Linked DNA regions of Ovis aries. The protein of the gene in region 1 interacts with the protein of each later gene in a biochemical or structural test. Links are inferred from orthologs where the notes say so. Each region holds a gene or a part of one and is shown on either strand. Other genes may lie near its edges.

Region 1 (3,262 bases):
GACAGCCCCATCCGAGGCTAACGTTTGGGAGGGTAGGGCTGTCAAGGGTTTCTGCAGCCCCAGTTTAGTCCCAATGGCTCAGGCTCCTTCTGTGGAAGTTCTCAGGGGCCGGTGGGGCAGAGGCATGTGTTTGTGGAGAGGACTGGCCCTCGCTGAGCTTTCCTCCCAGGGTCTTAGGGGGGCTGTGTAACCCACACTCTCTCACTCAGGGTCTCCTCCCACCACAACAGGATTAGATTTCTTTTAGCCAGAGGGAGTGGCGGGAGGCTGCCAACTGGGTACACCTAGGGGATCGCGGAGCTGAAGTGCCCAGAGCCTCCTGAGGTCAGAGTTCAGAGGTTAAAGGTATGTCAGGGAATGGAAAAGGAGCAGATGACCCCATGTGACCTTTACCAGCGAGGTCTGAGGGTCCTGCCTTCAAGTGCAGAGCCCAGACATTCAGATGGGGCTGAACACACACCAAGCCATGGGGGCCCCTGAGGGGCAGGGGCTGGGAGGGCGGCCCCTGCTCAGACCCCCGGGGGGACCCATCTAGGGAAGAAGCAATGCCAGCGTGGAGGGTGGGAGAGGCCAGTCATGGGACAGAGAAAAAGGGACAGGGGGAGGGCTGGGGCTGGGGCCGGGGCCGGGCGGAAGCAGCCCACCCACCACCACCTGCTGCCACTGGCCTTCAGAGGCAAAGTCCTCGTGGTAGGAGTGGGCGGGCGGCAGTGGGGGTCAGACCTTGTCCAGCAGGGAGCGCTGGCAATAGAGCAGTCGCTTGGGGGTCCCGTGCCGTCTGAAGAAGAAGACGGCGAGGCCCACCGCCAGCACCAGCAGCAGCAGCAGCACCGGGAGCACCACGGCGGCCGCGCTCACTGCCCCGCTGCCTTCCTCGTCCACCTCGATGATGATCACCTCTGTCTCCTCCTCAGTCCCCTCATCTGGCTGGCCCCCCGATGACGGGCAGCCCATCCAGTCCCGCAGGGCTGACTTGGGGTAGCCCGGCTCAACCTTCAGCTTCTGGTTGTTGAATTTCCAGTACTTGTTCCCCTTGTAGAAGTAAGTGAAGACTGCAGGGTCAGCAAGAGGGTGGCATGGAAGCCGGGAGGTGGACGCGGTGTCCGGAGCAGAGCCAAAGAGAGAAGCAGAGGGGAAGAAAACCAGTAAGTGTGCGAGCCCGCTGAGCTCATCCCCTCACCTTTCTGAGCACCCGTCTCCTCAGCTGTGAAGCCAGGTAACTACAGCACCAGGCTCAGAGAGTGGGGCAGATCGAAGGGTCTGAAACGCAGGAAGCACTGAGGGCCCGGCACAGGGCTCCCCGGTTCTCAGCATCATCCATTTTCTACCCAACACTCTCGGTCTTTCGCCCTGCTCTTCCTTAACTCCTTGTGCCTGTCCTCCCTTCACTGACACCTCCCGTGCCCCTCTCACCTTCATCGCTGCCCATGAACGACCCTCTGGGAGACTCAGGGATTCCTTCCCAGACCTTGATGTTTTTGGGGTATTCACTTTCCACTATCCTGAGCTCCTCGTTGAAACGGTAGTACCTAGAGGAGAGGCGGGGAAAGGAAGCGGCTTGACACTGGGCACATCCTCTGAGGGGAGTGACCTGGGACTGAATTCACCAGTGAGCAAAGGGTGGGGGACAGGGGTTTTGACTAATGAGGGCCTGGAGCTGAAAGCAGCGGAAGCTGGGGGTGGGAGGGCCCAGGCTGCAAGGAGCCACCAGCAGCCCTTAATGACAGTGCCTGGCAGCTGGGGCGGAGGCATGGTGCTGGGGGCAGAAGGCGTCAAATGACCAGGTCTAAAATGATGGTGACCGGGTCATATCCCACTCACTCAGAACCCAAAGGAGGCTGCCTGTTGCTAGGCAACAGCAGAGGCTCAGCCAGTGCCTTCTTCAGGGAGACATCTCGGGGGGCAAGTGGGTCTTCCACTAGAATTGAGGGAATCTGGTGGGTGGTGTGTGAGGAGGAAGGTGAGGTCTTACTTGTTTCCTCGGAAGAAATAGGTCTTTCCGTTGGGCATCCAGAAGAGAGCAGCATCAATCCTGTCAGTAGGCAGTCCTCGGCCCAGCTCCTTAATGTGCTTGGGGTACCCAGGCTCCAGGGAAGCTTCGTCAAACACCCAGTGCTTGTCTCCTGGGGCGGGGAGGGGAGGGCAGGATCTCATTCCACCTGGGTCTTTGGAGGAGCCAAGTGGAACATGCTCCTTCAGGGAGCCCCGCCCACACCCAAAGACTACGGTAGAATGTCTGGTTACCTTTGAAGAAGACAAACTTGCCATCCTTCCTCTCATAGGCAGTGTTGATGGATGCGGGCAGGCCCCGCCAGAACTGGCCAATGGGCATGGGGTATCCATCCATCACCTGGTTTTTCCTCACGCGCCAGAACCAACGCTCCTGGGAGGCAGTTCATTCAGTCTTTAGCTTTGTCCTCCAGCTCAGTCCCCAAAACTCCCCCATTGCCTCAGTTTTATAGGTTGACATCCCTGGTGGCTCAGATGGTAAAGCGTCTGCCTACGATGCGGGAGACCCGGGTTCGATCCCTGGGTCAGGAAGATCTCCTGGAGAAGGCAATGGCAACCCACTCCAGTACTCTTGCCTTAAAATCCCAAGGATGGAGGAGCCTGGTAGGCTACAGTCCACGGGATCGCAGAGAGTTGGACACGACTGAGCGACTTCACTTTCACAGTGCTTCGTCCTCCTGCTTCTGTGCCCACCCTGCCACCTGGTCATAGAGCCCTTTTGTCCCCCACACCAGCCCACCTCTTCCTCTTACCTTGAAGACAAACATCTCCCCTCGAAGCATGGCCACGGTGTCAAAGTTCCCGTCACAGATGTTGGGCCCGTAGGTGGGATTTTTGGGCTTATCGGGGATGGAAGGCCTGGAGGTGGTCCTGGGTTGAGGGGGGATCTTGGTGGGGGATCCTGACTTACTCCCTGGAACATGAGGGGCACTTCAGACTTTGGCAGAGTAGGAGGAAAGGACAGGCACATGGGCAGAAAACACCTTGGGGGGAGACTGAAGCAATCAGCTGGGAAAGGACAGAAAGGGTGCGGTCAGAAGTGGGGCCGATGGAGGTGGAGTCATGGGGCAGGGGTGGGGGAACGGGAAGACTGTAGGGCATGAGGGAGGGGGAAATGCCCAGGCCAGAGAGAGCTGGAGGAGACAAGCAGCAGAGAGAAAGGAGCAGATGTGGGCATAGGTTAGTTACCATAAAGTTGCTGGATGCCCCGGCGGTCGTCATCGGGCAGCACGAAGTTCTCTGTGTCCATCCA
Region 2 (3,813 bases), on another chromosome or scaffold:
TGCACACAGGTTCTCTGGCATTTACAGATTAAGGAGAATCAGATCCACCTGCAGCTTGATGCCCCTGCTCCTCACCGTCCGCCCCACGCGTGGCTGGGCCAGTTCTAGGGACCTAGAGGCGCACTGAGACAGCGGGACACCCTGCCACACTCCCAAACCTCCCACGGCTCTGCTGGACACAGCAACCCCAGGACGGCCACCGTTACCTTTATCTGCTTGATCTCATACTGAATCCGCTTGATGGGGTTGCCATAGATGTCGTTGCCAGAGTCCACCTCCTTCTTACTGACCGCTTTGGCCCTGATCACTGTGAAACAAAGATGCAAAGGTGAGCAGAGTCCCCCGCAAGACCGTCCTGGCTCCGAGGTTGAGGGGATTTGGGCGGAGTTGGCAGCAGGGAGGCGGGAGGCAAGGGCAGGCAATCCCAGCCTGGGCACAGCACTGGACTCCATCCAGAAGGGGCAGACCAGGAGTGACACCAGAGCCCTCTGCTGACAGGACCCCAGAGCAGCTCTTGTCCCTCAAGACCAGGGGGTGGCGGAGGCCATCACTGATTTGATCAAGGATCACTGTGGATCTCATACATTGGGACTCTGGGGCTTTTTTCCCTTTCTCTCCAATGTGTATGTATCAGTGGCTGGGAGAGCAGATGAGCACACTGACTGGCCGGCCATCCTGATCGTGCAGTTAAGGATGGTGAGAGCCCCACCCCGCCCGCCTCCTCCCATAGCCTACAGTCAGTCAGGCTTTTTCAGGCTGAAGGTAGAGGGGGAGTTACCTTCCTGCAAGAGGCCCCATCATATTTAGGTTGGAGGTCTGACATCAAAAAAGTCTATCCTGCCAGCCTCTGAATCCGTCCTCTGCATGTCCCTGAGAAATGTCCTGGGGCTGCTTTTTGTAATAACACACATTCTATCAGAGGCAATGGCAGAGGGAGGTCAAACATTTTAACCCAAAGGGTGTGGAACGGGAGGAGGAGACATTTAAGAGCATCAGTGGCAGAAAAAAGGGACAGATGCCGAGGGCAAAGGCCAAAACACAAAGGATGGTCCTGGACCTTGACACGAGATGGAGGAGTGGGGAAGAGGTCAGGCTGGGAAGGTTCCGGAATGTTCCCTGAGGCCTGAGGTTGCTCGTGGACCTTGCAACCCAGGGCTTCCTACTAGCAATTAAGCCGGGACCCTGCTCTGCCCCATAACCTGGCAGGCGGGGATCAACAGCTCACGCTGTCACTTGGGCAGAGCCCTCCCTCCCTTTTTTCATTTTGAGGCTCATCAGCTGGTGGCACAGGCCATTCTAATGGCTTTAAAAGCTTTGTCCTTCAAGATTCGGCTGTTCAGGGTCACTGTGGATGAGTGTCACGTGAGCATGGGTGTGAGCAAAATAGAGAAGCAAGGAGCAGACAGGGCCTGGCTTGGAGGAGCCTCCCACCCTCCACCCCAGTGAGCGGCTGGAGTCTCAGCCCCTGGCCAGGGCTGTCTTTTCCTGCAGAGCAGGGAGGTCCAGGACACAGACCCCCGTCTGTGCCCACCCCCCTGGATCCCCTAAATGCTCTCTGGACCCCAGCCTGGCACCAGAGCCCCACACCACAGCTCCAATGCCCTGCTCCGGCCCAAAGCCACCCTGATTTTTCCTTCTGTTGGCGCTGAGTCATGACTGGCCGAGGCCACAGGTTCCTGTTTCCCAGGCTGAGCCAGGCCCCAACCTACGAAGCCACATCCAGGAAATGCCAAGCGGTGGGCCACGCCAGAACAGAGGGCCTAGCCCTTGTAACAGGTCATCCTGATCTCAGTGTTTCTTCCCACCCCTCCACCCATCTTCCCACCCCAGCACGTGTTGCCTTTTCACAGCCACACCCCATCCAGCTCAAGCATCTTCCTTGGCTGCCCACTGCCGCCCTCTAAATGTCCTCCTGGCGACCTGGTACCAGCCAGTGATTGTTTCAGCTGCCTTGGTGGTCACCCGCTCTTGTTTGTTCTACCAGTCCATAATACTTGCTGAATCTGAACCTGCCCAGAGGTGTCCATATTTTCAGCCCTGAATGCCATCTCCTCGCTACCTGGAGAACTTCTATTCATCCTTCAAGACCCAGCTGAAATAGCCCTTCTCCATCTTCCACCCGGGAAATCCTGTCCTCTCGTGGCACTTGGTGTATATCCCACACCTCTCATCCATTTTGCTATAAACACCCGTACCCTTGTTTACGCAGAGACGAGGGAGCTTCGAACAGGCAGAAGCTATGTTCTAACCATAGAACAGTTAGCTCTATTTGCTGAGCTGAACCTGAGATAACTGGATGGCAACACAGGCGAGGTTTGTCTTGGTCCCTCTTACAACCTGCCTAGTCTATACCTTATCGCAACACTGCACGGAAGTTTTTCTGCACATGAGTAAACATCAGATCAGTCTGTCCTAAGCTTGCTCTTTCATAGTATCGTCCTCAGCGCCTGCTATCAAATGAACCAGGAACATCCAAAGGAGATCACAGGTCTAGAAGAAGCATTGCTGCCAAACTGCATTGTGGTGGTGTACCCAGTCCTGAATGCTTCTTGAAGCTGTTTGCTACTATTGTTCAGAGGCCCAGCACTCTGCACAACGCTTACTGCCTCATAGGTGTTCAATAAACACTCTGCTGACCATCAGAAAACAAGCAAAAAGTCAAAACTACCATGAGGTAACACTGCTCATCAGTCAGAAGGGCCATCGTTAAAAAGTCTACAAATAACATATGCTGAAGAGGGAGCCCTCTATACTGCTGGTGGGAAGGTAAGCTGGTGCAGCCCCTATGGAAAACAGGATGGAGCTCCTCAAAGAACTAAATCTAGAGCTGTCCTATGATCAAGCAATGTTATTGCTGGGCATATATCTGGATAAAACGGTAGTTCAAAAAGATACATAGACTCCCCCTCATGTTCAAAGCAGCACTATTAGCCAAGACACAGAGACAACCCGAATGCCCCCTGACAGATGAATGGATGCGTAACATTTCATCCTTGTCACTCAGCCATAAAAAAGAATAAAATCATATCATTCGCAGCAATGTGGATAGACCTAGAGATTATCACACTAAGTGAAGCAAGTCAGAAAAAGACCAATGCCGTATGGTATCACTTACATGTGGAATCCAAAAAAAAGACACAAATGAACAATATCCATGAAACATAGACAGACAGAACTCTGGCTGTCCAGGGGAAGGGGTGTAGGGGGAAGGAGGAATTGGGAATTTGAAATTAGCAGATGTAAACTATTATATGCAGGATGGGTAAACAGCAAGGTCCTACTATACAGCGCAGAGAACTATATTCAATATTTGGTGATAAATCATAAATGGAAAAGCATATGAAAAGAATGTATATAATATAACCGAATCACTTTGCTGTACAGCAGAAATTAACAGCACTTAAATCAACTACACTGAAACCGATTTTTTTTTTTTTAAAGGAAAATAAGCAAAAAGTACTTCCAAATAGCCAAGAGACCCCATTCGATTCCACACAATAAGGTCCATGCATTTTTCTCTCCTAAAAGCTCCTAAAGCTCCCGGGCAGTCTGGGTCCTGATTTGAAAGTGGGCAGCACCGGGACTCCATCCTGCTGTAGCCCCTCCCTGTGACACAGCCTCAGGGAAGCTCCCTGACCTTGCTGGGACGCAGCTACTCATTTCTGAAACAGAGAACCGCCACCATCGCCAGTATGGGCACACCCTCAGGGTGAGGGAGGGGACTAAGAGCTGGGCCCAGGAGATGCCTGGCACAGAAAGCGTGCACAGCTCAGCGCAGAGCAAACACAGCCCCACGGGGAAGAATGGCACCGA

What was found.
Region 2: the proteins of MMP14 (region 1) and TIMP2 form a complex in vitro, tested with the Homo sapiens proteins (2 studies listed by BioGRID). The link is inferred for Ovis aries from reciprocal best matches to the Homo sapiens genes MMP14 and TIMP2.

The regions. Positions count from the first base shown.
Region 1 is NC_056060.1:21,789,444-21,792,705, forward strand, and holds the end of MMP14 (matrix metalloproteinase-14 precursor), read right to left. Parts: coding exon 3,199-3,262; intron 2,924-3,198; coding exon 2,763-2,923; intron 2,384-2,762; coding exon 2,245-2,383; intron 2,124-2,244; coding exon 1,973-2,123; intron 1,530-1,972; coding exon 1,414-1,529; intron 1,053-1,413; coding exon 718-1,052; downstream 1-717.
Region 2 is NC_056064.1:52,834,680-52,838,492, reverse strand, and holds part of TIMP2 (metalloproteinase inhibitor 2 precursor), read right to left. Parts: exon of another isoform or gene 893-3,813; intron 308-892; coding exon 207-307; intron 1-206. UniProt on the Homo sapiens protein: Complexes with metalloproteinases (such as collagenases) and irreversibly inactivates them by binding to their catalytic zinc cofactor. Known to act on MMP-1, MMP-2, MMP-3, MMP-7, MMP-8, MMP-9, MMP-10, MMP-13, MMP-14, MMP-15, MMP-16 and MMP-19.